Linked DNA regions of Drosophila melanogaster. The protein of the gene in region 3 interacts with the protein of the main gene of each other region in a pairwise test. Each region holds a gene or a part of one and is shown on either strand. Other genes may lie near its edges. The genes, in order: asl, ana1, spd-2 and cnn.

Region 1 (7,444 bases), on a different chromosome or scaffold from region 3:
CAGAGCCACGCGGAGAGATTGTTATAGACAGCAGGTTTAACTCCATATCCTTGGCCATAACATTGGCCACTTTGGCTGGGGATCAGATGAAGAGCATCACCAAGCTTGGCTCCATGCTACACATGCGTGGAGTTTCCGGAGCAAGAGTGATAGTTCCTGGCCAAAATAAAACTATAGACGGGCATGAGTTTCTAGGCAAGTAATATTCACTATCGTCTTTGTTTTCCGACTAAAATTTAGAATATTTCGCTTAGATTTCGGCTCCCACCGCAGCAACCTGCAAGTTCCGTACCTGACTGTAGCGGCAGGAATTGGAATAACCCGAGAGGAGATTGACAAATTCTTCGACATTTTCAACAAGTGCTGGAACCAGATTTTTCAAACTAAAAATGAAAAAATTATGAGCCTACTAGAAACAACAATCAAATAAAAAACCTATTTTTTAATATTAATGATAAACTTTCACTTTTTTAGCTGATTTTTATAAGCACAATTTTGTTAGGAATGTACAGCGACTTTTATTTGTTTAGACAATTTGGCAGTGCATGCAGTAACGATATCCCACTAAAGAGACCTACATATACATATATATATTTTCCTAAGTCTTAGCTGTGACCATTGCCTTTGGGCTTTCTATTTGAGTTGGTGATTGGGTCGCTGCTGCTATTGCTGGGCACGTTCTCTTTGTCGCGGTGCTTCTCCCGACTCCGCCGCTCCAGGTGCTGGTTCATGGTCGCCTCGATCTTGGCGAGTGATAGCTCGTACTCGTGCTTAATGCGCTCATACTCGCGTTTCATGTGCGCCTCCTTGTCCTCGGCATACAACTTGTAATTGTGGGCGGTACGCTTGGCACTTTGATATCGCTGCTGTGCGGATCGCATCGCCTCTTCGTGGGTGGAACGCAAGCTTTCCAGCTGCTGGCGCCAGTGGTGTTCCACCTGGTCGACTGACTGGCGCTGTTTCTCCCACTGAGCCATCACAGCCTTCATAGATTGCCTTTCGGAGTCGATGCTGGCGTGCTGCTCCTCCACTTCTCGGAGCAGTTCGGCAATTCGCTGGTTCTTCGCTTGCAGCTCCTGGCGGCACTTCTGCAGCATTTCCTTTTGCTTTTCTTCCCTGCCGGCCAGAATTTCATCGATATTCTCGCGTTCTGCCAGGATAGTTTGCTTTAGAAGATCCACCTCCGTTTGCCGCTGTTGCAGCTCTGCACACACCGTTTGGTATTCCCTTTGGAGGCACTGGCTCCTCTCCTCAGATTTTTGCAGCCGGTTAGTAAACCTCTTGAGTTCTGCTGCAAAAAGTTTGGCCATCTCATCACGAACACGTTGTTCGATCAACCTTATCCGATTCTGGGTGAGCTCTTTGGGCGATGGATCAGACGGGGAAACTGAGTTTGATTTCGGACTGGGCGTACACTTATTCTGCTGCTTATGCTCCTCTTGCTGCCTAATGTACGCCTCGAATTGCTTGGCCCTCTCCTTAAGATCGCTAATGAGCTCGTCCTGCTTGTTTGAAAGCTCGATCTTTTCCTGCATCTCGGCTTGCAAATTTTTAGACTGCTCCAGCGCGTGTTCCAATTCTTTCAGTTCCTTGGCCTGCATTGAGTTCACATTCTGGAGTTTCAACAACTGAATTTCCGCCTAAAAACCGTGGTGATATATAAGATTATTTAGTTTACTAGCATGTCTGAAAGGTTATCGCTTACCTTGGTAATTTCTGCTATGCTTTCAATGCACTTGCTGCAGTTTTCGGAACTTTCTTTGGCCACCGCAACTGCTTCTTCGCGCTTTTCCCGCTCGCTCCTTTGGCGCAAGGCCTGCAGATCACGTTCGTGGCTGAGTTTCTCCGTTTCCAGAAGCTTTTTTAGCTCCTCTGATTTCATCTCCGCCAGCTGCAAGTTTCGCTGAACAGTGGCCAAGTTTTGGCGTTGATCCTGCAACTCCTTAAGCGTGTCCGATTCTCTCAGCTTTCTCAATTCATAGCCTAATGACTCTTTGTCTGTGGCGATGTCAGAATAGAGTTTCTTAAGCCGCTCGACCTCGCTCTGGGAATCCCTCAACAGAATCTTGTGGCGTTCCAGCTCCAAGCGCAGGTTGTCTGCAGTTTCTCGAGTTCGCAACTGCCGATTTTCCTGCGAAAGCTGATCGTAATTTCTTTGAAGGCTCTCGTTCTGCTGCTTTAGTTGCTCCAGATCTTCTTCAATCTGCTGCCGTTTTTCCCTTAGTGCATCCCTCTCGGCCACAATGGAATTCAGCTGTGAGTGCACATCTGACTCCTGCTGTGATCTGTGTTTTTGCTCTTCCAACTCCTGCTGCATTGCCTTCACTTTGTTTTCCAACCGCATTTTGCCTTCGTTTAGGGTTTCCAGCTGAACCAGGGATTGGTTCTCCTGGTCGCGCAGCACGCGCAGTTCCTGGTTGCGTTCCTCCAGGAGCTTCTCTAGGCGTCGCACTTCTTCCCGCTTGTTCTTCAGGTTGCCCAGAGCTCGATACAACTCCTGCTTAATGTGACCGACTCTGTCTAGAGGATTCAGCGGTGTGCTACCAACAAGGCGCGATCCACCCATTTGACTTAGCCGACTAGTAGGCGATTCGTCCGCCTGATGCTGTTGAATAACCGAATCTATCAGGTCAAGTTCCGTGGTGGTTTCGTTTAGGCGCTCATGGAGCGAAGCGACTGTTTGCTCCAAATAGGCAATGCGGGCTTTCAAGTCAACGATGCACTGTTGCTGCCGACGATTTTCAGCCTGCAAATCGGGTCTTGCACTTAGTTGGTTGCAGCGCATTTGGGCCTCATCCAAAGCTTGACTGAGCTCGTTAATCTTGGCAGCCTTATCTACGAGCATTGTTTCGTGACCAGACTGCAGAGCATTGTAGCGCGAGTTTATCTGATCCAACTCATTTTGCTTGCGATCAAGCTGATCCTTCATCTGACAGAGTTGCTGCTGCAAAAGATCGGACTGGGCTCGGTGCGCTTCCTCCATTTGCTTTAAACGTAGGTCGGCGTTCCGCTCCTCCCACTTCTGCTTACTGGCCTGCACCATGTCGTATTTGCTTTGGACGTCCGTAAGCAAGGTCTTGGCGGCCTCTAATTGACCAACTAATCGCGTGTTATCTTCTTCCAACTGCTTCTTTTCCGACCGCAGCTTGTCCAGATCGCTGTCCTTATTGGAGCACGTCTCTTTGGTCTCCACCAACAGCTCGTGAGTGTTCTGCTTCTCGCGAATGGCGCGGTCTAGCTCAGCCTGCATGATGGATAGGTGCTTTTGTAAGTCATCCAGTTTTTTGTGCGCAGCGTTGGCCACCTGGTTGACATTCTGCAGCTCATTATTCTTAGACTCCAGCAGGATCTGGAGGCGATGCATCTCGATCTCGTTGGCTCGCTGAGCATCGTCCTGCAGCGGTTTATGGTGCGGATGTGATGGGTAGTTGGGTAGAACTGGCGGCTGTTCCAGTTCCGACTGGTAATTCGTCGTCGAGTCGATTGTGTTCTCTTCATCGAGCAGATCGTCGAAGGCATTCACCATAATCCGTCCAAGCTTGCGTAGAATTGGAATCGGTGACATTGTTTACCAGGAATTCCCAGATCGCTTACCTCTTCCTCGCGTCGTTTCTGATCCTGCAGCGCCTCTTCCTCCTCCTGCCGGTCCAGTGTAGAATTTATGTTAAGGGCATCCGCCCCCTGAAAGAGGCTTATACCTGGCGTGTTCATATTCGGCTAAGGGGACGCCACAAGCATCAAATTCAAATAAATTCCGAGGCGCAGGCGCTATTTTCGTAGGCAACTCTAATTTTCTTCCTCTTGCTTCTGTTGACACTTTGACATTAACATAGTAACGCGTGCTGTTAAGTGCAGTAAGCGCTTCTGTAGCGAAAACATTGCGTTCACACTACATACAGTCTAGAAGGGAATTAGGTTTTTATTCTATACTTGTACATAAACTGTAATTGTTAAATTTAAAAATAAATATTTTCCCAAAAAGTTGCCGATATGTCGAAAAGATTGTGGCCCCGACAATAGACCTGCCAGGCATACACAAGCTTGAAGATGATATTGTATGTATGTATTATCATGCCAACTATGGTTCCGTCGTATCATTGATAGGGGGAGCTGTTGTGCATTGCAGAATGCAGTAGATTTGCTATTGGAATATACATACATATGTATGTCGTGTTAGTCCAGATGACAGGTATGTATTTTCAGACACGGCCAGTAATTTTTTATAGGATCACTTTATAGAAAGAATTTCTTCTACCTTTCAAATACATTTCAACGAATCGAAAAAATATAACTTGCTTTTTAATTTAATGGGAGTCCGCTCATTTCATAATATCGAACAGCTAAAAAATGTTACATTTCAAAGATATTCTAAAAATATGAATACCAACTAGACTCCAGCAGGATAAAAATAAATCGCTTTAAATTGTTAACCGGCAATTTGTACCAGAATTTGCACATACATACATATGCATATATGTATGTATATATATCCTAACACCGTTTTAGAAGAAAAACTCAAATGGATTGTTTTTAATTTTTATAATAAAACTTATTATTCAGTTAGTGTTGAGTGTCCTTGTTGCAATGCAAAAACAACAGCATACTTTCTTTTTCAATTTTTTTCATTTTTATTAATTTTATACAGACTGTCCATTCATAAACGCACTTATATTGGGACATTTATCTAATTTCTCGGGATCTATTTGGAAAACCTTGGACAAACGTTTCCAACTTTGCGCATCAAAGTAGTAGAAGGTGCCGCGCTCTTTTGTACCATTTTTTTCATATTGATCAATGCCAGGAATTCGAGTTATCCATATTTTCTCCTCCACGTGGTATCGCCACTCGCGACTATGCCTGCGATGGGAGCAGAATTTTAGTATATATGTATGTTCTATATATGTTCATACGAAGCTTAGATAATAGCTACGCAAGAGGAAGTACTCACAATTCAGCAGCTGCCATCAATTGCATCATATCGCCGATGTTCGTGTAAAAAAGGAAAAAGAGCAGGTCTTCTTGCAGCTTTTTCAGTACCGGCGCTGTTAGTTTGTCTCTTATCGCAAAGTTAATCAGATATTCGGGTGGCACGTTGAACTCAACGTCTTGTGCTCTGAAAAAAGTAAATGCAAATCCAATGTTACTAATTTGGTACACCTCTTACTCAATAGTACTCAATAAGCAATTAAATTATGTAAGTTTATTATGTAAACTGACCTGCAGGGCTGTGCTACGAAGGGGCCAGCGAAGGTTGTATGCAAGCTCTCCTGCGAGTTCAGGTTCAGGCCTAAACCCGTGAGATCCGTACCCAAGGAGAGCGTCACCAGATTGGGATCCGTTTCTGCAGCCCGAATGAACGTCAGCAGGCCAACCATGCCGAACTGGTTGTTCACCATGGTCGCTGGTATGTTTGTGACCTTCCCTATTTATGCAAAACGAACGAAAGGTAAATTTGTTACATTTTTAAATAAATAAAATATTTCATGGTACTATTATTTCTGGATAAAATGGGTCAAGGATAGTATAGCTGTTGGGCTTTTGTGATGTACACCGAAATCACCGAATTATAATATGAAACAAATAATAATAGAAACCAAGAAATCCATTGATTAAATGGTATCAATCATCCATAGAGTGTTCAATTCAAAGCTCCAAATGATCAAAAGGTCAAAAATAGCTCTCTCACATGTTGTGAGAAGTGTTCCAGCACTCACCATCTGGCGAAGTTTGCACGCCGCTCTTTACAAGTTTATCGTTGCTGGAATTATCGTTCAGATGCTCGCCGCCCGCTCCGCTCCCAGACGAGCCGCTTCCACTCCCCAGGCCGCCGCCTACGCCCATCATGGCATTGCTGTTGGGTACGCTGTTGACGCCGCCAATGCCGCTGTTACTGCCCACCAGTCCTACATGGGACCCGCCGACAACGCCGCTGGCTGCATTGCCGCCGACTCCTCCGCCTCCTGAGCTACCAGCTCCTCCGCCGCCGCCTACTGCCAAGCCCCCTATACCACTGCCAACGGCACCGAGACCATTGCCGCCTACAACGCCGACGTTGGAACCGCTGCTGCCGCTCGCTGATCCGCTGACCACTATCGAATTCATCGGCTTTTCCGTGCCGTCCAAGTGGTTCTCTGTGGACGCACCTCCGGAGCCTCCTGTTCCGGCGACGCTCCCCACCGCGTTCGTTGTGCCGTCCGAGTTTTGGGTGCCCGGTAACGCAGGGAAGTCCTCGTTAGACATCGTGAACTCCGATTGCTCTGACGTCGGTTGCTTCACCATGCCAACTGAAATCAGAAGAGGAGCGAGATGGTCGCCCAGGGCGAATGAGTGAAGCGAAGAAATTAGTACTAAAGCAGTTTAAGCTCATACAATACACACGATTTTAGTTAATTTCTTTTTCCTCAACCAATTAAAATCAATGAGTAGGTCCAAACAGCATTTGTTCAAGGTTTTAAGACATGTTACTGTGAATTTAAAGTTATCCTTCACCTATATATGAACTTATAAAAGGTTAAGTCGCTTGCTTTATGTGAACAGTTTCTTTTTATTCATTGATCATGTTTCAAAGTAAATGAGATTGCATATAATAATATGTTTGGAGTATAATCCGGAAACACAATTTCATTTCAAACTCTAAATTGCAAAAGCTCTTCATGGAATCAGAAGCCCGTATTCGGTTGGACCAACGTAGCCAAAGTAAATGTCCTTGACTGAATCTAGTTTTTGCAGCGTTTGCCATACCCAAACCAACACCCGAGGTTAGTCCCAAATACAGCGTAGCATATCTAAGTGGGCTTAATGAGCTGATCACGAGACACCACGCTTACAACCGATTCTTAATCGTAGTTTTAAAAACAAAAATAAATAAAAAGAAGTGGATTTTGATTTGAACTCACAAGAGGTAAAGAAATTACCATAGGGTTTGCTGCCCGGCGGCTGGAGCGGATTCGATTGGGGCAGTGTCTGGTCGTTCTGGCCGCGCGCATTCGTCAGCGAGGGGAACTCCGTGGGATCGAGCAGGGCAGGCGTGGAGGTGTCGCTACCACCGCCGCCGCCGAACACGTGGAAGTTATTCAAAGGACCGCCACCGCCTCCGCCCGTTCCGTAGCCGCCGCGACCCGTCTGCATGAAGTTGCCCATGTTCGACTGCGGAAAGAGATAATGATTAGCCAAGTCTTAACAATTTATTTTTAGAATTAGGACTGACATCTCCAACTCAATCTTAATAGAGGGTATATTTTTTATGTAATGTGAAAGCATTTGTAACTTCTGAAATTAATGTATATTCCGTTGTATCAAAAATATTTCCTTTATATAAATCTGATCGATCAGCGATACGATTCTCTGATGCAATCCGAAGTATTGAAGTACTAAACCCACAGTCAATGGATATAGATATTGTTATATGTTTTACTTTGAGTATCTTGGACAAGACCGAGTTGGA
Region 2 (9,415 bases), on a different chromosome or scaffold from region 3:
ATGGATTTTATACAGATCGCTCTGGTGATGTTTGGAATTCTGATTGTTATTGGTATACTGAATCCGGTTTTGGTGGCCGCCATGTTGGTGGTAGCCGTTGTGGATGTGCTCATCCTGAAGTTGTACCTGAGACCTTCGCAGGATCTCAAGCGATTGGAGGGCATATGCCGCAGTCCGGTGTTTTCCCATCTCAGTGCTTCCCTTACGGGTCTGGCCATCATTCGATCCCGCCAGTTGCAGGATGTGGTGGCCAAGGAGTTTGATTTGCTGCAGGATGTGCACAGTAGCGTGTGGCAGCTGACCATGGCAGTGAATACGACTTTAGGCTTGTGGCTGGACTGTGTCAGTTGCATCTTCCTTACCTCTGTCACCTTCAGCTTCATTATCTCCAGTGAAAGTGAGTTCTATTAGAAATAAGTTATTAAAAAGAACAAAACTAATAGGTATATTTTCTAATTTTAGCCACTTATAGCGGCAACGTAGGCTTGGCCATTGCCCAGGCCATGATCCTAACCGGAATGGTGCAATATGGAGTGCGACAAGTGGCCGAGTCCTTGCAGCAAATGACCAGCGTGGAGCGCGTCCTGCAATACACCGAACTGGAGCAGGAGCCGGCGCTGGGCGAAAAAACGCCACCGCAGCAGTGGCCCACACGCGGTCAGGTGGAGTTCCGCAATATGAGCTGTCGTTATGATCCAAATGGATCGCCGGTGCTTAGGAACCTGAATCTCACCATCGAGGCGGGCTGGAAGGTTGGCATTGTGGGACGTACAGGAGCTGGGAAATCGTCGCTAATTGGAGCTCTCTTCCGATTGGCTCACATCGAGGGAGAGATTTTTATCGATGGCATAGAGACGGGAACGATTTCATTGGAAATTCTGCGCACCCGCATCTCGATTATACCCCAGGATCCGGTACTGTTTTCCGCTACCATCCGCTACAATCTGGACCCCTTCGAGCGGTATACCGACGCTGAGCTGTGGAGCGCTTTGGAAGATGTGGAGCTGCGTAAAGCCATTCCCGGTCTGGACTACATGGTAACGGAGAGGGGCGGCAATTTCAGCGTGGGCCAACGTCAATTGCTCTGCCTGGCCAGGGCGATTCTGCGAAACAACAAGGTGCTGGTACTGGATGAGGCCACGGCCAATGTGGATCCACAGTGAGTCCTAGAACGAAAGTTACTATATCTCCAGAACTAACTTCTAACCCATCTATTCTCGCAGAACCGATGCCCTGATCCAGCGCACCATACGCATCAAGTTCAAGCAGTGCACAGTGCTCACCGTTGCCCATCGATTGCACACAGTCATGGATTCGGATCGGATTATAGTAATGGATGCTGGTGTCGCCGTGGAATTCGATGTGCCGTACTTGCTGTTGAAGAAGTCACAGGGACATCTCCGGCAAATGGTAGAGGCCACAGGCGGGGAATCGGAAGCACTGAAGAAGACGGCCAGTGACAGCCACAAAAGAATGCAAAGAGAACGGGACGAGCGAGATCGCGATCAGGATGAGAGCCAGGAGTGAGAAACGGTGGCCCAAAAAAATATCCATCGGAAATCGCATTTAACCAAATCTGGTGCTTATAATGGCTCAAGGTTACAACTCTTGGGCTCCCAATGGAAGAGGAATCTTGTCCAAAACAAAAACCGTACCAAAATGATTTTCTTGTGCACATACACATATTATGTTATCAATGTTTCATTTCCTTAGTTTAGTTAAGTTTGTTAACGAAAAGTCTAGAATGTGTACTGCCTTATACGTATTGTACTTAGATGTAATCTCCACCAGGGACTACGTTGTAATATTTGTCCACCAACCTATTGTAGACCGCCAGTGAATCGGATGTTTACTTACAACATGACAAAAGCTACTTACATTCTGGTACCGGACCAGAACTGAAACACCGAGGTCCTCAAAGGATCAGTGGGTTAATCTACTCACTAGTTAGACCATCAAATATATATATTGTTTATAAATTGTGTACATTACTGCAAGTCTATATTCATACAACCGAAATATTGTACTTGAAACTCTAGATAGAAATTTAATAAATAATCGTCGGGTTTATTAAAATATAAATAAGTTTCACACAAATTGGTAATAAAATTGTACATTTAACTTATTGAGTAAATTTTATACAATCTTTTTCGATAGTCATTTTTTGACACAAAATTGCAAAGTAAGTAAAATATAAATAATTGTCATAAAATGGATAATATAATCTAAAACCTAAACAAACGAATTAAAAGTTCGGCGATCATTTTCGGGGCGACTTTCGATGCGTTGTCCTGACACCTGATCCTATTTGACCTGAGGATTGGCGAGTTTGATTTGTACTAAGTTTGCTTTGTTGTTCAAAAGGAATGGGTGGAGTTCCATCTGGATAGTTAACCAGGGAGATGCGACTCTCCCCGGAGAACAGTTGAGAGCCGGTGTTACTCATGGACCCGGCCTTCTCTGGAATGGAGAGGAACGATCCCACTGGTGTGGATGTCTTTTGTCTGTCGTTTGTTGCTCCGGTGGCATGGCTTACACCCACTCCTGGCGTTTGCGTGTTGTTGCTGGGCGAGAGCGAATGTAGGACCGACTTCAGAAAGTGCCCCCTTAAGGACTCATCTGAACTCTCACTGGCAACGTCGTCGTGCACTCGATGTTTGAGGAGCTCTCTCGTAAGGAATTCCCTCAGATTAAGGGATCTTCCTATCTGGCTTGCATCCTGCACAGTGGAATCGTCCTTAGACCTATTGTTGTGCTCGTGGCCTCCACGAAGCCGAGACTTTCGTGGCCGCCGTTCTGGCGACGAGGCTGTGGTACTGCTGCACAACTCATCCACCTGCTGTTGCCTCTCATGCATTGTGGCATGCCAGCACGGACTTCTCTGATCCGCGTCGCTGGAAAAGTTGCTGCCGGAGAGGGGATCTATGCCACTCTCGTTGGGTTGATCGTTGGTCACTGGGGCGACGCTTTCCCGCCGCGTACTGCTAGCCACCTCCTGAGCCGTCAATGTGGTCTCAGTTGCGTTTCCTCGACGAAATGAGTTCTTTAGAATTTTCCGCTGGCGGAGTTCTTCCTCTACGTTAAATGAATCCGTGGAATCATTCTCTAAGCTAGCACTGTCTATTAGATCCCTCTGATCGGGTGGTTGCTTGGCCATAAGTTTTTCAAAGTATTCCCTGCGCTTGGGAAAGTCTTGGATACTATGAGTGATCACGCGCAGCTGTCGCATCAGTTCACCCGGTGACAGAGTGGCCTGATCTGCATCCTGACCTATCTCCACATGGATTCGGGTGCTAGTCATGTTATGAAGATAGGCATTAATGCTAGGAAACTCACGGTAGTCAGTTCCTTGATTGCGTTGCCTGATCGCGAGTATTAAGTCATTAAATTCGCCCTGCAGCCGTTGGCTCTGATCAGCATCCAACCGCGACAGATCTAAGTGCAGTTCCTTGGCATACTGATCGAAACTAGGGAATGGCTTGGGCACCGGTGTGGCGGCCACAATATGTGATTGTCCTGGCGTTTCCACTTCTGTAATGGTCGACAGCTCGTGCGCCAGATCCTCGGCGTTTAGTTGAGGACTATACCGACGAATCGTGGCCGGAGGTGCCCTTACTCGTCCGCGTGCTGTATTATTCTGCGTTGATGACCCAAGCGAGATGGGTTCCACATCGATACAAACCTGACCCTGTGCCGTAATTGGACGTGAGTCCGCAATGCCACTATCCCTGCTGGCCGCTGTCGGCTTGTGCTTCTGCAACGGCAAGGCTTCCGAGGTCGAAGGTGTTTGAGAATCGCTGCGATCGGAAATTGTCCGGCATCTGGTTTGCTGTTGTCCTGTTGGAAGCTCAAGATATTCAGTGGACTGCCGCTCGCCATCGCTGTTCGATGTGAGGGTGACCTCCACCAGTCGCTGCTTCTCCTCGCGCACTTTCGTGATCAGCTCTGTAAGTTCGGCGATCCGCTGGGTGCAGTTCTCCGTGAGCTGTGCATAGCGTTCCATGTTTCGGGCAGATGACTCCTCACTGGTGGATAGTGCTTTCGATTTTTCGGGGGCAAAGCGGTTTGTGCTTTTATCGGCGCCTGAACCTTGTTTTACAGTCTTTTGCTCCCTTTTTTGTTGCACTGCACCGTTTGTTTGCTGCTGCCGGTCCCCTTCTTGAGTTCTACGAATTTTGCCGCTTTCCTGTGGAGGTGCTGCATTTTTCCTATCTCCTTGTGGAGTCGGCCTTTCCCTTGGCATCTTTTCTCTTGTTTGCTCTTTCTCTTTGTTGGTTTGCTGACAATCTTCAGGATTCTTGGCCAAACGCTTGTTCCATATTTGATCGAATGCGCGCATACTTTTCTCTGCATCCAGCGATTGTTGCTCCCTTTGCAGCTGCTGCTGGCAACGTATTGATTCTTCCAAGTCATTGATTAAGCTGCGATTGTCGGCAATAAAGGTTTGCACCCGCTCCATGCGATGCTCGTTCATCTCCGTATTTTCATCCTGATCCCTTTCAGCTCTTCCCGCTTCAGGCTCGGGACAAGGGGTTACGTTTCTCAATGAGTTGATCACCGACGTTGATGGTGTGGTCACACACGAGGAACTCACACCCATCTCATCGATATTTTGGCGTGTCATTCCTAGCAGACGATTTATATATTGAACCACCATGGGATGTAATGGAGCAGAAGGGGGAGCGGCCGTGGTCATATTTTTATAGCTCACTGGCGGCAGACTGCGATAGGCAGTGGAGTTGGAATCAATGGATATCTGACGCTGATCCTGTAAGAATGGTCGCTTTCCGTGATCCTGTTCCGTCGGCTTTGGCTCATCGTCTCTTGGTGTGCTGTCAGTTGAGCCCAGGGGCACATCCTTTTCATTGTCGATAGCCGACGGCTTGGTTTTGGCTTTCGATTTTGTTCTCGGTACATATTGCTTAACAGTACCGTCACTCCTCACCTTAATAATGATCTCAACTGGCCCATCTTCTTTTGCGTTTGATTTTGGCTTATCACTCTCACTGGATTTTGCGTTTTTTGTCTCCTTGTAGAACTTTCTTAGACGCTGCTCGAGAATAGCCTCCTTCTGTTGCAAATCAGATTCTCGTTCGTTTAAAGTTCTCGTTCGCTCGGATAGAATATCAGCTCGCTCCTGACGTATATTATTCAATTCCTGTGCATTGTCACCCTTTGATGCACCTGACTCACCCGCCTTCAGTTCCTCCAACAGCTGGACTCGAATTTTCTCAATGCGCTCAAGCAAACTCTTTAGCCTCATCGATTTCAGTGAGTTTGACTGCTCGGCCTGCAGGTCCGACTTGAGTTGCTTGCTTTGATCATTAACGTAGTCGAGAAGAATGGAGCTGCAGCTCTCCGAGCTGCCAAGATTATCCCGGCCGATTTGAACAGGAGGTTCGCCCAAATTAACTGCCACAGAAGCTTTGGATTTGCTGCGCGATAAGTTTGGAGGAGTAGGTTTGGTGCGCACTTCCGGGCAGGTGATAATGGCTGGTCGAAGCAGCATTTCTTCCATTGCATCGTTCATCTTTTGCTCTCGCCTGGCAGCTGCATCCGCGTACCGATGGCTAGGTATAATGTTAGCCTGGTGGGAAAATGAGTTTGTATTATTTAAAGAGGAAAAATATTTGATTTCCTTACATCGGTTGGCAAGAGCTGCGGTTGCTGTTGCGTTAGAGCATCTAGCTTTTCCGTTAATTCAGCACAATCCCGACGCACTTGCTCGCGTTCAAGAGCCTTTTGACCACGATCGTCACTAATTTTCCTATTGAAATACGTTATTGATTTCAATTTGATTCATTAAGATAAGTTCTGTGTTCTGTTTCTTTTACTGGCTACTACCTCAGTTTGTCCAGTTCCTGTTCCCGCAGATCCCTCAGCTGGTTCTCGATGCGAGCATGATCCATAGCGGTCAATTGGGTGGCATCCTTCTCATTGCACTGCACCGACTGTGTTGGTGCTTCGTACGTTCTATGGTACTTATTGCTATGATCATAGAACTGAACACGCCCACATTGAGTCGTCCTTGGGTCCTGTCGCGAGGACATGGTAATTGTGGTGGTGGACACAGTGGATTGCGTAGCAGTGCTCGGTGGAGCAGTAATAGCGGGACCGAGTACAGCTGGCTGATTCGGCATCATTTGCTGCGGTGCATACATCGGATGAGGTTGTGGAAACTGGGCTTGCACGGGAAATGGCATTGAATATGGCATCGCATATGGTTGCATCGGAAGTTGAGCATACGGATGCATGTATGGTTGATTCTGCGGCATGGGATAACAATGGGTCATCGACGGATTTGGCACAGCTGGCATAGCCTGTTCTGGAATCGGTGGAAGGTTTCGAGGAGGTTCCACTGCTGGTTTCTGTATAGCTGTTACTTTGGGCAGCGTAGCTGGAGCTTTGGCCTTCTGACCTCTGTGTATTCCCGCATCTATCACCTTGGCAGGAGCTGGATTTAATTTTAAACCCGTTCTTTTGACTGATGGCTGGTTACGTGGTGCCGTCACAGTTTTCTTCGGCGATCCTTTAGCTGTTTTAGTGGGTGATTTTCTGGGTGCTGGAGCAGGAACGGGCTCCTCACGCTCTACACATTTTCTGGGCGATCTTGGCGGGGATTTGGTGGGACTAGGCGGGGCAGATACTGGTGGAGTAGGATCTGCTTCCCTTCGTTGACTTGGCCCAGCTCGTACGGTGGTCTCGGTTTTTCTTACCAAATCGCTGATCTGAGTGAATCTCGGCCGGCGTTGGGGTTCATCATCACTGGGTCGCACGACATGGCTGAATTTCCGGTTGGTTTGCATGAACCTATCATTTATATCCATACCCTCGGGATTCTTGTCGGTTTCAGAAATGGTTTCCTCGATTTCTACGTCTAGGATTACGGGGGTAGTTTTTTGGAGACGCCGGTTGCTGCTCGGACTCTCGATGATCAGGATGGATGAGTCGTCATCGGACGATGCGTCATCCTCCTTCTCATCCTCTGCATCGGTGCTGGCACATCCACAGCTGGTTTTCCTTTTGCGCTTGCCCTTGCAACAGGGTTTGTTACACCCGCTCTCCATTCGGTTTTCTTTGTCCTCCACTATGGGCGTTTGTGTTCCCGCCGAGGCACGTCCCTCCGCATTTAAATTCATTGTGTTTGTGGTCCGCAACTCAACGCTGGCTTTAGCCGATCTTTTCAAGGCCTGCTTGCGACACCTTCGGATTTTGTCGATTCTCTCTTGCCTCTGCTGCTCGATGCGTTCGTTCTCCTCCTTTGCGGCGCGATGGGCGGCGCCCACCTGGAAAATGGCCGAACGGTAGTCCTGGTGCTTTTTGACCAAAACATGCTCACGCCACGCATTTAGCTCCCTTTGCTTGACCTGCTCTAATTTGTGGATTTGACGCCTCTTTTCGGCAGCCACATCCTCGCGTATCTGGCGTGCCAGGTGGTTTGACTTCTCCCGCACCTGGTTATAAAATTAAGTGGTCACGCTTTGTGTTACAATTACTGCGCAATGGGCTCGGAACCCAAGGGACAAGTTACCTGCTTCAAACGGGTTATGCGACGCTCACTTTCGAGATCTTTGCGTACTTGCTCTGGATCGTCCAGTGGTCCTATGGTCCTCCTCAGGTTGGCCCCGAACTTTCCATTTACTGTTAGCTGCAGAGCCATCTGCTCTATCGATATATGTAATAAATTCGTATGTGGGGCAGCATTTACGCAGTAGAAATCGAAACAAGTTTGAGCGTAAAATCAAACAACCCAACGTCTTTAAAAATTCCTCCCAAGCGGCAGTGTGACCGTAGATGAATAATTGAATGTACTAGAATTTACATGCGTCTAAAATATACCAGCTGGTAAGTAGCACGCACTCAAGGCACAATACAAATTCGGAAATTAAATGATCGAAAAACTACGTGTTTTTTTTTAAATTATAAAATTTAATGAATGCAATTTGAAAGCTACATGACAATAAACTCAGTTTGAAAACGAAAACATCACAACAGCATGTACACAAGCCTAGATGGCCCAGTTGGGATGTATCGAACTATCGACACCTATCGTTATCGTGCGAAATCAGCTGAAATTGTTTGGATTACGAGATAGTAAATAGAAATATTGAAATTACATTTTTTGGCTGTGAAATCGTAAAATTATGGCGTTCCTACTGCGACAAGTGGCCAGGAGCGGATTGCAAAGGTGAAATAAGCTAGGAAAAATTGCGTGACAAATCCCACAATAAATGCTTGATCTTCCATAGAAATCTAATCCTAATGCGGCATGCAACCGCTTCCACATCCGCGAATCCCGAACTTAGTGTCCAGGTGAGCGAGAGCTGCTTGAAACGGCTCCGTGAGATCTGCGTGGATGGATCTTTCCTGCGTGTGACCGTCGAAGGAGGCGGATGCTCCGGCTTTCAGTACAAATTCGATTTGGATAAGCAGCTGAACGAGGATGACCGACAGTTTGGCGAGGCTGAGGCCAAGGTGGTGATCGATACAGTCTCGCTGGAGTACTGCAGCGGCGCCACCGTGGACTACCATAGCGAACTAATACGCGCCGGTTTCCGGATGGTGGCCAATCCGCTGGCGGAACAGGGCTGCTCCTGCGGCTCCTCCTTCTCAATCAAATTGTAAACTTTAAACTTTAGAGAATTATTTAATACACATAGAATGTTCAGTTATATACACGTCGAGGGTGGACAATAACAAAACAGGGTAGAGGGGGAGCGGGCGTTCCCAGTTAGTTATTTTACAACAATATACAGTAAAGCAGCTGGGCGGGATGCGCGCCGCTGTCCATGCTCATTTGCAGGCGGCCAGCTGGTCACTCAAGCTGATGACCTGCTCCGTCAGCACGCTGATTTGCTCCTCGTAGTTAATACGCGTCGTAGTCTAAGGAAATCCGAGATGTCACTTGGTTCTAAGAGCACAAAACTGCAGGCACAACTCACCAACTCCTCTTCGAGCATTTGCAGGGCTCCACCCAAACTGGCCAACTGATCGTCCTTGGCCTTAAGTTCGTGCGTTGCGTTCTCCAGGCAGTTTTGCAGGTGCTGAACCTCCAGCTCGTAGGATCGCAACTTGGATTCCGCTTGCACTTTCAGTCGCATCAGATCCTCGAACTTCTTGCTGAACACACTGTAGATGAGCTGCTCCTTGGTGGGCGGTTCGGGGGGATCCTGCAGCGAATCCCGCGCCCGCTGGCTGCCTTTCGCCTCCGACTCTGCCGGTCGAACGGTGACGCCCGCCGCCGCCGTGCTGCAGCTGCACGTGCTGAGATCCTTGCTGGGGTTCGAGACAAATGCTTGATGCAGCTTGGCCACTTCGAATTGAGCCCTCCAATGCGCCGCCTCCTTCTCGAGCAGCGCAATGCGATCCTCGGAGGTGAGTTGGTTGCTATTCGACTGCTGCTGGAGATTGTGTA
Region 3 (6,730 bases):
TTTGCTCATGATTTAATCAACGTTCTCCGTTTGCAATATTTTATGTTCTCCATTTTTAGTTTGAAATATATATGTATTTATTATTTTAATGTACAAAACACACGAATGTAAATAAATTTGTAATTATGTCGAATGGAGTATGTTCAATATGGGGGACGCCCCGCGTTTCTGTAGCCAAATCGCGGAACTCCAATGAACGGCGGTCGCTGGCGGTATCTGTAGGGGGCCGGTGGAAACGGCGGAGGACGTGGTAGCCTTTGGTATCCAAAACTTTGCTGCATACCAGACATCCCCTGCAAAATCGATTTAAGTTAGATTTGTTATTTGTTTCAATACAAATAACTACTAACGTAGAAATCCTGTGGTGGCACTTGCACATAGTAGTTGATGATCTTTGGCGGAGGATTATACCGATGCGGGCTCCGTTGACGGCGTCTTCGTTCACTGCTGCGACTTCGGCTATGTTGACGGCGTTTTCGTTCACTGCTGCGACTTCGGTTGCGATTGCGGCTCCTAGAGCGCTGGCGATGCCTTCTGTGCCTGCTCTCTCTGATGGACGACTGTGATCTGGATCTGGAGCGAGTGCGTCTGGTGGATTGGTGCGCTCTTTGGCGCAATCTTCTCAACCGATCCTGTTCTCGAACCTCGTCTGCAAAGTACGGAATCTTGTGCTCCTTCTTTCTGCTGTCCCTCTCGCTTGATCGCCCATGGTATTCTCTTTCTCGCCGGGATCGAGACCTTGAGCCACGGGAATCTATGTGAAAAGAGTGTGCGGTTAGTCAATGCATCTAACGCATAGTGTTTGGCGCATCGTCGGAGACGGAATCCACGTAATGCGCAGTTGAGAGTCCTATTGTCCTAGCTTCTCTTTCTCTGTCTGGTCGTCCAGCGTTCATTCTCATCCATTTCACATTTCACACAATATGACACTAGAAAAAAAACAACAAAAAGATGGCACTGGATCAGAATCTGATCAGATCGGTTATACTATATAGTGGGTACCTCGATGCTGGGTTCCACTGCTGTCGGCATCCATTTTCATCGGAAAATGCTGGAAATTAAATGATGCACTTTCCTCAGTGTGACCGTACTCGGCTTGCACCTTGCAATGTGCCCGCCAACTCACTTTTCGACGAACTATCGCTACATATACGTTACTTTTTGAATATTCGAGAGCAACATATCAAAATTTAAAATTAACTCATATACTTTATTAGTTTTTATTTAAGCTAAATTCAACTTTTAGGAAACAAGCGAGTATTTTAACTTTAGGGTTATGCGTTTTCCTTACAAATACTCTGCAAACACGGTTTCATTTCACAAGTACACAATACAATTTTTGTTTAAACTAACTACACAAACATAGGGAAAGCAGAATTAGCAGGCACAAATAAAACAAATTTTAAAATTTAAAACTAATCGGGACACTGATGCGCTCGTTTTCCATGGAGACCACAATGAGCGGCTCCCTTTCGAGCAAATCCTGCCTGGGTGAGCGGAGCAGGCGCACATCGATCTCCGCGTGGCCGCCATCCGGGGATACGTAGCACTCACTGGGACTGATTCGCACCAAATCGGGCACATTGCATGTGACCTCGATGAGCTGCCTGGAGCAGAAGCTGTTGGTTACGGACAAAGTGGCCAGTGGCGAACAGCCCACTCCGAATTCCAGCAAACCTGGCTGCACACACCAGTTTTGCTCGACGGGCGTCAACGTTGTGGTGTCCGCCTCCAATAGCTCATCCACTGGCTCCAATAGATGGCTCTGCGTTGGCGTCGGCGAATTGGCCACACATATGGTGCGGAATAGCACGGTTTCGTCGGCCTCCGGCAGGAACATCAGGGAACTCTCAGACGATTCATCAAAGTCCCGATTGAGGGTAAGCGCAACATCAATAATCCGCACTACTGTGACCAAGTCCAGAATAAACTCTGGCGGTTCGTTCAGCTGACCGATGTTGCGCACTGGCTGCTCGTCCGGAAATTCGCCCCAAATGCTGTCCAGCATCGGCGATGTGAGTTTCTCTCGCTGTCGGCTGCTCATCCTTTGGACCAAGCTACGCATACGCTGTCTGTTGGGCTCGTCTCCGCAGAAAATCCGCATATTGGCCAGGGTCAACACCTGTGCGGTCTTCTTAAGTATGTTCTTCAAGTCCTCACGATTCGGTCGGAAAAGTATCTGCACGCAGCGCTCGCTATTTGGCGGCAATATCAAGCGGCTCGGACGTACCTCGAAGGCCTCGCTGAGGCGCAGTTTCATGAGCACGGTGGAGTCCACTGATATACCAACGAAAGCGGTGAGAGGGCCCTTGTTGTGAAACTTGAGATTCGCCGAAAGCGGACCAGCGGACAGCTCGCATACATCGCCGATGGTAAGGAAACTGGCGCCCACCGGTCCCTTTAGCAGACCGTTTATGGTGATGGACGCACTGCCCCCGTAGCCGTACAACGGAATCTCTAGGCCCGGCTGGTTGCTGTTATGCGCTCCTGGTGGTGCATAGAAAGACAAGGCTCCGATGGCCGCTCCACAGACAGTGGGGCAAAAGTTGATCACTACCGAGCGGCATTCCATGGCTTGGAGTGTGATCGTGCTGCTGTCGGTGCCCACCAGCTGGAATCCGGGTCCCTGGATGCCAAGCCGAATGACCAGCCGTTTGTCCGCTGTGTTCTTAACCTGCATGGACTTACGCACATCTGTCCGCAGCTTTGTGCTTCCCCAACAGAGGGTCGTGTGGGTCACCTTTAGGGGGAGCAGTTTTCCATCGCGATGACTGAACTCACTAGAGTTCGAGCAGCGCGAAATACTACGTGGCACTGCAACAGAGCTGGTTCCCAACCCACGTCTTCCACTCGCTGTGAATCCGCTGGTGGAACTGGCCTCACTACCTGCGGGCGAGGAGTTTGCTTTGCGGGCTGCTCCACTCATGAGCTGCCGGCGGTCGGAACTGGTTGTGCTGTCCAGCAGCGGCGACGAGAGACAGCTTCTTGGCGAGGACAGGGGCGATAGATTTTTGGCCAGGTTCGGTGAAATGCCAAAATCACGTTCGGTAGAAGAGGCCACGGCAACGTCACAACCATCCAAGCGAGTGCTGCTTAAGGAGGAGGCTTTGCGCGGAATCAAGCCCATTGTAGCGATCGAAACCCTCTTCTTGTTCACTGGCGTCTTGTCCTCGTCCTCCTCATCGTTTTCATCCTCGGTGCAGGTCAGTGGACGTACGCCGTCGCTACTCGACGGACTTGCGGCTCTTGGAGAAATCTTAGTACGTCTCACTCTGCGGCTAGGCTCCTTTACCGGCGTCGAGGGCCACTCATCGATGTCCGCCTCGGCTTCTGTCTCTACGGGATCGGTGTCCGCACGGCTGATGGTGATTTGCGGATGGTCCGCCAGCGGACTGAGCGGCTTGCGCGAGATGCTCTGCTGCAAATGACGAAAATCCGTTGAGTTTAGCACAGAGTCCGTGAAACTCATGGTGTCGGTAAGCTTGTTGGAGCCGCACGAAGTGCGCTCCGCATGGGAGTTGCTGCTCTGGTTCTCCTTGTTTTCCCCATCGTCATAATTGTTTCCACGACCATGCTCCCACAGGTGGTTGACAACCTCTACAGTGGATGTATCCGAATTGAGATCTATGTCCCTTAGCGCCTTGTCGATCGCGGAGAGACTTAGGATCTCGGAGCTCGACGGCGGACGCTTGGTCTCTTTGGCTGCCAGACCATTCCTGCTCTTTAGCGCAGTTTCAATCCGATCCTGTTGCATCTTACGCATAAGATTGCGTCCGAGATTCGAGCCAGTTATGGCATCCGTTTTAGTGTATGTTTTATTGTCTGGCTGTGGGGTCTTCTCGCCAACCGAATCCAGTGTCACGTTACTTTCTGGTTCCAATAGCGGTTGGTTGGTTCGCGAACGATTCGGGCTGCTATTGCTCACAATGTTCCATATATTTTCCGAACGCGTCTGGAAGTAGTTGCCCAGCGAAAAGTCTGGATCTCCGGCCAAGACAGAACTGTAAATAAAAGTTGAAAGTTGATCAAATTATATTTGGAAGACTATTTTATGTTGCTTACTTGGACACCGAGGTTTCTATCTCGGATGTTGGTGCGGCAATCTTCTTCAACGCCTGTGTGCTCAACGTGGCCGTCGGCATGGCCGTGAACTCCTGCGCCCAGGAGATTTCACCGAGCACCAATTTGGACTGCATTAGCTCGGCGGGAGCAAAGCTCTCATCCTGGCCTTCCGCCGCCAACGAGGCAGATCCAAAGGAAAATCCCCCACCTCCGTTAAGACTCAGTTCACTCATGTCCGCAGTGCGCGGTAAGCTGCGCGAGCAGTTGAATGAATCTGAGAGGCTGCTGGAGCTGCCACGTGATAAGTGATAGCTGGCCTCCGCCTGACTGGCATCCTGCAGCTTCCTTTCCAACAGGCGAGCCTTCTCAACGAAGGATGACTTTAGAATTTCGGCCACCGACAGGGATGGCTTCTCCCTGCGGCGCTGTTTTCCCGCCTGGCAGAGTGTGGACCTGCCGGTGATCTCCGCAGGCTCAAAAGAGATGTTTGTGCCCTTGGTGGCGGGCGTGACCAAAGCAAAGGAGCTGCTGCTGTTCAGATCGATGGTGTCGTCTGTTACCAGCTCCGAGATGTTTGTGGACAAGCGCATCTGGAGGGCAGTGCTCTTTGCTTGGCTGGAACGCGACGGTCGGGGCTTTTCCAGTGTCTCCAGCGCACGCAGTCGTTCTTCTCGGAGCCGCTCGTGGACGGCGGGAGAGTCCCGACCAGTGCCGCTCCTCCTTCCACTTTTGCTGAAGCTGGACAAGTCGCCGAAGACTGTAGGGAATGAGGATTACTTGCTGCTTCGGCTTATTTCCGGCGTGCTCCACCTGCTTACCCTTTAGATTGTCCATGTTCAGGATGCCCAGCGAGTTCTGGTCCATGAAACTGCCATTTCCTTGGCTTCCACTGCTACTGTCCATTCCGCTTTGTCCTTAAACAGTTACAGTTTGCAGTGCGAACGCGAAAACAAAAAAAAGGCGCGTCGCTTCGATCAAAAATGGACGTCGATAAATGATAAAAGATCCAGGGCTGCATACTAGTGTCGAAGCGGCCTTTGCTTACTTGTCCGGTCGATCAAATGTCAAAAATGTAAATATTTTTAGTATTCTACTGCATCACTGCTGCTAGCGCATATATCAAAACTCCACAATAAACAAAAAAACATAAATACACATATATAATAAACAAAAAAACATAAATACATATATTAAAGAAAAATGTTAACACAAGTCACCAATTAACTGCGCGAGATAAATTTACGTTACATCCCCACTCGTTAAACCGCAATGATAACCGCTAGCCAATTCAAGAGTAGAATGTAAAATAAGCTTACGATAAACTGTAAACTGCAACAAGCGCAAAACGTGCGACGGGGATTTCTCCCCGGTATTCCACTTTTCAATTCTCAATACCGCGTAACGTCGTCTGCAATTTGTACCGGATTGCATTGGATTATCCGCCTGGGCGCGAACAGTAACTCCCCAAAAATGGAGGCAGCTATTCTGGATATAATCAACGGGATCCTGACCATAGACACGGAACGAATCCGTGAGGTGAGCAAAGCGGGCCATCCGGCAATAAGAAAGGAGGTTATCCTGGGCGCCAATGGATGTCTTTCATGTATGCTTTCCTTTCTGACTGCTTCACGTTTGTCTGATCAGTTAAGTTGAATCCACACTTAGCTGTAAAAATAGGTGTATAATATTTTTTTTTTTTTTAATTTAATGTTTAATGTTCTATTTGATCAGAACAAACTTCCGAAAACTATTGCACTTTTTTAGAAATAATTATTTATATATAAATAATAATTATAATAATTATTAAAAAAAATTATTATAAAAATTATAAAAATAATTATAATTAATAATAATTAATTAATATTATATTTTTATTTGCATTAAACTCGTGGATATACCATTACATTGCTCGAATGGACGCACACTTCGTCGCTTCCTAATTGAAAAATTACTTATGTTGATAGCATGATAGCATAGGGCCATAAAAGTCGCTAATAAAGTTCCATTTCTTTCGCTTCCTTAGTCCACAGCCAAGATGCTAAAGGCCTACGAGAATCCCGATTCTCTGCTGGTTCTCACCCAGATCGTGATGTCGGACAGGCCGGTCCAAGAGCGGCAGGTCGCCGCCGTGCTCCTCAAGAGGCGGGTCAAAAAGTTACGCCACTGGCAGTTGGTTCCCGCCGAGCACCAGGCAGCGTGAGTTAACTGGTTACCTTTTAATGACTATGATACAGTAACGGATGCATGTTTTTTAGAATCAAATCGAACATGCTACAGGTCCTCATCGCGGTGAAGGAAAAGACCGTGAAGGGCACGGTGGCCTTTATAATTGGATCGCTGGTGCGCCACGAGGAGGGCGAGCAAAACTCCTGGAGGGAGGAAATACTGAAGTTTATTTACGAACGTTGCAGCAGCCCCGATCCAATAGAAAGCGAGCGGGGCAGCTCAATCTTTTCCTCGCTCATGGACGCTGCTCCCGATCAGTTTTCGGACCACACGGATACTATGTTCCCATTGCTTGCCGGCATTCTAGTTACCGCCGAGGCGAATGGGAACATGGCCACACCCACCGTGCATAACATGCTGACCGGTTCATGCTTCTTGTTGCCTTTCGTAAGTGGACATAGTAATGCTGAGCAGATTGTGGTTAAGGCTGTGCCGCTCATAC
Region 4 (6,693 bases), on a different chromosome or scaffold from region 3:
CTAAACTGGAAACGATTGAGATTTCTATTTTGAGCATAGATATATTGTCTAATTAAGAGATTTACCCAGTTTTCACGAGATGTTCATTGTTGCGGAAAAGTAACAGAAACATTTTCAATCAAATGAACACCTACAGTGGGATACTTTAATGATTTATCATCCAAAATGATTTTTAATAGTTATTAATAAAAAGGAACTATCCCTTTTTATTCCTATCCCATTCGAAATATTTCCAGTTAAGTTTTAAAATGAAATCCATATAATCGATATAAAAATCCTTATGAATAGCGTCTTAAAACTATGATCCGCAACGTACATTTTTTCTATCAATTGTAGACACACCCAATATTTGCCCAAATCGGCAATCAACCTCTTTTTATTCGATTTCGCCCAATTGCGCTGTGAACTAAATTTCAGCTAAAGTCACACTTGAATGATCACACTTCCAAAAACCACAAGTCGCAATGGATGAGATTACACTTCCGCGCCTTAAATCCGCCGTGAATCGGGGAACAGGGAGGGGGGCTATAGATTACATACAGTGAGCCCAACTATTATAGAATACATAACCTACCAGAATGTTGAGTTGTTGGAATTCAGAGAGTATCTCTTGAATGGGGTGCCAGGTACATCCGACGAGTGATTTAGTGAGGTAGATCGAAAGATACCCGCCATATTCTATGTTTCATTTAACATTTGCGCTCTTATTAGCGTTTATTTATATTCTTTTCACTTTCCTTCAGTTCTCTTCTGTAGATATTTGCAGCGACTCTAATTTTGAGATTTAATTAGTTGCTTTTACACGGGGTGGACACGTCATTCCTGGCTGCTGCTGCGGCTGCTGTTGTTGTTGTTGTTCTTGGCTTTATTCCCTAAATACTTTCGCGGCGCACGCCAAACTTCGTTACGTATCCGCCATGTCGTCTTCGAAGGGACGGGCAGCCATGAGTCATGGGCTGCTGGGCGATGCGACGTGCGCAGCAGCAATCAGGAGCATTCAGCCGTAGAGCGGAAGAAGAGTCTTCAAAGAGTCTGGCGCTCCTACGGACGGGATGCATCCCCAACAGGACGGGGGGTTGGACGACGGCACATGTGGGCCACCGCATCGTTGAAGATACTAACCACCACATACACTGCACCACGCACCGCCTCTGGTCGTTATTTATTTTGGGAATTGAGCAAACAGCAAAACGGCGACCGCATTAGAAACAGCAATTTGTGAACGGGACAAGAAAATTCTGCCAAACATTTTCACTCATTGTTTTGTTTTGGCATTCGGCTATCGCTGGTTACTATGGTGGTAATGAAAATCAATGGTTTAAGCCGACAGCTGAGCGACCTGGTCACTGGGAACAACAGGTGTGCATTTTGAACCGTGCCGGAACATGTGTCTCTTCGTTTAGCACCTGAACTTTGCCGCGAATGCATTTTAGGGCCCTCACATCGACAGGTAAACTGCAGTTAACAGCCCATTCTCACCTCACCTGGAACGCAGACGCGACTCATCTACCTGGCTGCCTGGCGCGCCTCGAGTGGGTGTCAAACTATGGCCAACGACACACAAAGGCGCCTGCCTTAATCAACAAAGAAATACAATAACAATAAACAGAAGTGGATCGAGACTATAGCGAGTGATATGCGAGGAAAGCATCTTAAGACAATAACCATATGACGAAGGACGCACTGAATCTTGAAGGCTTTTGAACAGGATGTCAAATGTCACTCATATTCATAAATCGAATCAAAACATTCATAAAATATGCAAGATGTTTATTGTTCAAAATTAGAAAGGAAATTTCAATTGAATAAGAAATAAAATATAACATTACTCAATTAAATTATGACTAAAGTGTGTTTTTTTTTAATTCCTTATTTAAATTTAAATGAATGCGATAAAAACAAAACTAAATGAGCCATTTGCATGATAAATTCTACTTATGATCCCTCAAATTACATATCATACAAACGATACTGTACTTTACCAACCAGGATGCTTTGTTTTTCGAGGGTAGGGAAGTCAGCGTTGCAGTTTTGGAAGGGCAACAAAAGAGGTGCTCTGTTCGGTTTTTACCCCATAGGGGTTAATTCCACGAGTCCATGACCCCTGATGAATGCACATGTGTATATAACTAACTAACCCACACACACACACATGGAGCATACGACGAAACTGCAGTCTGATAAGACGACTTGTGACGAAATTCAGAGTTCCAGGAAGTGCGAAAACGCAGATAATGATATAGGTTGTTGCGGCTGTCGATTGAGCCATGGAATGCTCTATTTCACAAACAAATTAATTCGTATACTTTTTCTCCGACTAAAATTAGCCGCAGCATCGTGGCGACAAAAACGACAAACGAACAACAACAACAACAGCAGCAGCAGCAGCATCAGGGGGCACAAGCACAGATATCTTTAGTATTTCTAAGTATATATTACATTTATTGTAAATCCGAGCACACTTTGTACTTTATATATCTGTGTATTTCGATTTGGTTTTTTGTTTTTCATCCGAGAACCACCAGCATCCCACTAATCGCTTATCCACAGCAACGAATGCAATAAATTACAAATCAATCTATCACTTTTTGTATCTCGCAGTGCAATATAAACAATTGCACTTATGTACAGATATGTATGTACAATCAATCACTCACACACCCGCACAACGCTTGACCCGCTGATTGTTTCTATTTACATATATGTATGTATATATGGGTAAGTGAGTATATAGATATGTATGTATGTACATATGGCACGATTGATAGCCGAGAGGCAAGCAAAATAAACCGAAAAACGCTCTCTGCACGTCCAAATAAACCGAAAGCTAGAACATAACTGACTGAAACTGCGATGCGACCGATTCAGAGCGACCAAAGGCAGAGCAGCAAACGGGCGGAAAACTCGGGCTCATCTGCGAGGAAAAAGGAAAATGCGCTCAGCAGATGTTACGCATTTCCCAATGCCGTACACAGCGAGAAAGCGGTCAGCAAACTCAGTTCATTGGCTACGAATAGAATACAGAAATATCTGTTGTATACTTAAGGGATTACATTTGTGTTCCCAATTCTTTTTCTTTTAAATTTTCATTTTCATTAGGAATCAGAATAGTAATAGTAAATCTAAAGATTATAATAAAAAAATGTATTAAACTTTGACTCTATTCAGCATTTGAAAAAGTGATGAAGCATACAATCTTAAAAATAAAAGTACATCTTATAAGAGTACCTTACAAATCTTATTTCATTTAAAATCGTAAATTAATCCAAATCACTTAATGTTTTTAAAAAACATTTTAAAATAAATATTGATGGAAATTTAGCTTTAAAATTTTTTTCAGTGCAGATGTATTATTGTTCCTCTCTTCGAATTTTTTGGGGTGGGTAATACGCCCATTGTACGCCTGTGCTTGTGAGTATGCCTCCCCCTATGGGGCCGAGCAGTACGGATGCGGGAGAGCTCCAGCTGAGAGCGTTAGTTCCCGATCACAGTGGGCACGATCACCATGTCACATGGCGATCATCTGCTGCGCACTCGCAGTTGCCAGGGATTTCGATGGATTTGCCACACAAGTCTTATTGGTAAGCTATTGTTTATGCTAGTGTTTTGGACTTACTCGTCTATGCTTTTGGACAGTGCCTCGGCTAGTTTGCGCAGGACCCTTCTGTCGATTTCGGCGGCGCCATTCTCCTCCAGGAAACTGGTCACGGTCTCAATTAAGGTGATTTCCTTCAAGGACGATGCACAGGTACCATTGCCGTCGCCGCAATAGTCCCGCAAAACCTGTTTAGACTGGTCCATGGGAGGTCCTCAAATAGTTAACTTTCGCACACAATAATTCTAACACTTGACAATTTCACAAAGGACGCTAACAATTACACTTTTTTTCTGTTTGGAAAATGAAGCGCGCTGGAACAGCTGTTTCTGGCGTCAGTTATCGAAATGCTGCCATGCGCACTGGCAGCACTGCCGTACAACGGGAAAAAGTTAACACAGCGGTATGGCAACGCTGTTCGTCGATTTACGTTACTGCAAAGTCGATTCTTATCGATGGTAAACAACATCGACGGTTTACGAAAATTAGCATTCGCCTGATAAGCAAGTAGAACACTACGGCCACCAGATATAACGCCATGCTATAAACGCTCTGTGGGCACGTTTTCGTCAGCCCCAGCCACAAGCAGGCCAACTTCAGTCGGGGGCAGTACACATACAGAAAATAGAGCAGCGCAACAGAGAAAAAGCTCCCCCCTCGAAAAACCTAACAATGTTTGCTACACTGAAAAACAAGATCAAGGAGGAAACTGGCGATGATGTGGTCCAATCAGCCAATCAACGTTATCCCGGCAACAACAACAACAATTACCGGCTACGTAGTCGCCGCGTTAGCATTAATTCCAACTCAGCTGATGATGTGGGCGGTGGCGGATTCTACAATGAGGTAAACTGAGCGAAAAAAAAACAGTCTATTTGTGTATACTTACACATTAAACAAAAACACGGATAAACAAACACCTTCACTCTTTTCGCAGTCGGAGCAATTGTGCGAGCTGCGAAGTCAGTGCAACGAGCTCACCACGAAGCTGTCCACCGTCACGCAGGGATTGCAGCAGCTGCAGGAGGAGAAGACGCGCGTGGACAAGACCAACGAGATTCTGCTAGAGAGTGTGCGTGTGGCCCAGACGCAGAAGGACATATACTGCGAGGAGCAGGAGAAGATTCAGAATCTACAGCAAATCGAGATTGACAAGCTGAAGAATCTGCTTAGCTTTCGGGAGCAGGAGTCGGTGGATCGCATGGGTCTCATGCGCCAGCAGACCCAGCAAATCGAGTCCTTGAGCGAGGAACTAGAACGTCTGCGTCCCATTGAATCCGTGGCCGAAGATTTACGCGACGAACTAGAGCAACTGCGACATTCTACACAGCAGGAGAAGAATCTGCTGACCACAACACTGGCGGCTGTACAGGAGGAGAACCGGCACCTCAAAAAGCGCATGAAAATCGTCGAGGAGTCGCGACTCGAGTCTCTGGGCAAACTGAACTCCGAGCAACAAGTGCAAGCCCTTATCCGGGAACATAAACTGCTGGAACAGCACTTAGAGGAGGCCCATCTGCAGTTGTCGGACATCAAAGGCTCGTGGAGTGGCCAGAATCTGGCGCTGGAAACCCAAGTTAGTCGTCTATCCAAGCAAGTGGCCGAAGAGACCACCGAAAAGCGAAAGGCCCTTAAATCCCGCGACGATGCCATTGAAAGCCGCAAGCAGGTATCATTCGAACTCGAAAAAGCCAAAGATGAAATAAAGCAGCGGGACGATAAGGTAGGTTAGATAGTAATACCTATGTGCCAATACTTATGCACTTTAATTGCAGGTCAAGCTGCTGGAGGAGGAAATCGATGAACTTAGTGTGGCCCTGAAAGAGTGCCGAGAGGAGAACGAGCAGCAAGTCCTCTTTGAGCGCAATAAATCTGTGAGTATGCCTCCCGATTCTGACGATTTCCATTGGGACTTGTAACACTAATTTAACCAACAATGCAGTACTAACTCTACCAATTAAGCTCCTGGTTTACTTGGAATTTTCCAACCACACCTATTATGTAGTTTTTGATTGTAAATGTTTTCCTTTTCGTATTAAACTGATTTAATCGTTGGCAAACTTTTTGGTAAACTTTTTCCTTCAATAATGCACGCATATATATGTTTACCCTCAATATCCAAAACTGATTGATGGAGATTTTGTAAACCAATAAACCGAATGTTCTCAGCAAAATTTGGAAACAGAGGTAAAAGATCTCAAGACTCGTCTCACGGCAGCGGATGACAGGTTCAGCGAGTACTCCTCGAATGCCGAGCAGGTGGCCCAAAAGCTACGGGTTCAGGTGACTGAAAAGCAGGAGCAGCTGGACGAAACCATAATGCAACTGGAAATCGAACGAGAGGAGAAAATGACTGCAATACTTCGCAATGCGGAAATCGCCCAGAGCGAAGACATTTTACGGCAACAGCTGCGCTTGGAGCGCAGCGAAGCCAGCGACCTCCAGGAGAGGAATAATCAGCTGGTGAGGGATATATCCGAGGCACGGCAAACGTTGCAGCAGGTCAGCAGCACAGCACAGGATAATGCCGACAAGTTGACCGAATTCGAGCGAGTTCAGTTGGAAATAATCGAAAAGAATAAGGTTAGATTTGTTATGAATGGTTTTGGCAAATTTTATTAACCAATTTTCTGTCTAGACAATAAAAACACTGAATCAGCGTTTGATTGACTTGAAAAAAACAGTGCAGAAGGAACTACGCAGTGCGCAGATATCCACGGACAGTGAATCTCATCCGACAACGACACCAGGTCACAGAATCTCAAGTTCATCGCTGGAGGCATTTTCAACTGGCGACAAGGGAAATTGCGTCATAATGGACGAAGTTAATTTTCAATATTTGAAACACGTAATTGTTAAGTTCTTGACCAGTCGCGAGGTATGCAATTTCATCTGTTTCCTGTATAATTAATTCGATTTCATGTTTGTTTCTTTAGGTGGAAGCTCGCCATCTTGTTCGTGCCGTATCCACATTACTTCAATTGACAACCGAGGAGGAAAAGCTGCTACACGACACATTGAATTGGAAGATGAGTTGGTTTGGCATGAAACCAACTTAAGTAGCCACAGCAATACATCACATTTGTACTCTAATCTAT

Evidence for each region.
Region 1: the proteins of spd-2 (region 3) and asl interact in a two-hybrid assay, tested with the Drosophila melanogaster proteins (4 studies listed by BioGRID).
Region 2: the proteins of spd-2 (region 3) and ana1 interact in a two-hybrid assay, tested with the Drosophila melanogaster proteins (one study listed by BioGRID).
Region 4: the proteins of spd-2 (region 3) and cnn interact in a two-hybrid assay, tested with the Drosophila melanogaster proteins (2 studies listed by BioGRID).

Annotation. Positions count from the first base shown.
Region 1 is NT_033777.3:5,602,736-5,610,179, forward strand, and holds asl (asterless), read right to left. Parts: upstream 3,809-7,444; 5' UTR 3,712-3,808; coding exon 3,595-3,711; intron 3,539-3,594; coding exon 1,706-3,538; intron 1,641-1,705; coding exon 606-1,640; 3' UTR 501-605; downstream 1-500. Other genes in the region: SecS (Sec synthetase), read left to right, coding at 1-195, 255-430; Rga (regena), read right to left, coding at 4,638-4,857, 4,949-5,113, 5,218-5,422, 5,715-6,284, 6,897-7,146.
Region 2 is NT_033777.3:24,529,031-24,538,445, reverse strand, and holds ana1 (anastral spindle 1), read right to left. Parts: upstream 7,871-9,415; 5' UTR 7,661-7,870; coding exon 7,532-7,660; intron 7,455-7,531; coding exon 5,845-7,454; intron 5,768-5,844; coding exon 5,644-5,767; intron 5,588-5,643; coding exon 2,261-5,587; 3' UTR 2,051-2,260; downstream 1-2,050. Other genes in the region: Cftr (CF transmembrane conductance regulator), read left to right, coding at 1-397, 463-1,159, 1,224-1,527; CG13623 (uncharacterized protein), read left to right, coding at 8,145-8,188, 8,250-8,625; CG6607 (uncharacterized protein), read right to left, coding at 8,794-8,883, 8,943-9,415.
Region 3 is NT_037436.4:16,590,002-16,596,731, forward strand, and holds spd-2 (spindle defective 2), read right to left. Parts: upstream 5,014-6,730; 5' UTR 4,966-5,013; coding exon 4,881-4,965; intron 4,820-4,880; coding exon 4,063-4,819; intron 4,002-4,062; coding exon 1,403-4,001; 3' UTR 1,206-1,402; downstream 1-1,205. Other genes in the region: tra (transformer), read right to left, coding at 144-293, 351-754, 1,003-1,042; Apl (apollo), read left to right, coding at 5,533-5,598, 6,086-6,258, 6,318-6,730.
Region 4 is NT_033778.4:13,446,558-13,453,250, forward strand, and holds the start of cnn (centrosomin), read right to left. Parts: upstream 3,919-6,693; 5' UTR 3,802-3,918; coding exon 3,617-3,801; intron 2,844-3,616; exon of another isoform or gene 2,440-2,843; intron 772-2,439; exon of another isoform or gene 676-771; coding exon of another isoform or gene 575-675; intron 1-574. Other genes in the region: Golgin97 (golgin 97), read left to right, coding at 4,268-4,441, 4,533-5,318, 5,371-5,469, 5,765-6,178, 6,234-6,473, 6,532-6,654. UniProt on the Drosophila melanogaster protein: Core component of the centrosome throughout spermatogenesis. May participate in mitotic spindle assembly and the mechanics of morphogenesis through an interaction with microtubules, either directly or indirectly. Is a target of several homeotic genes.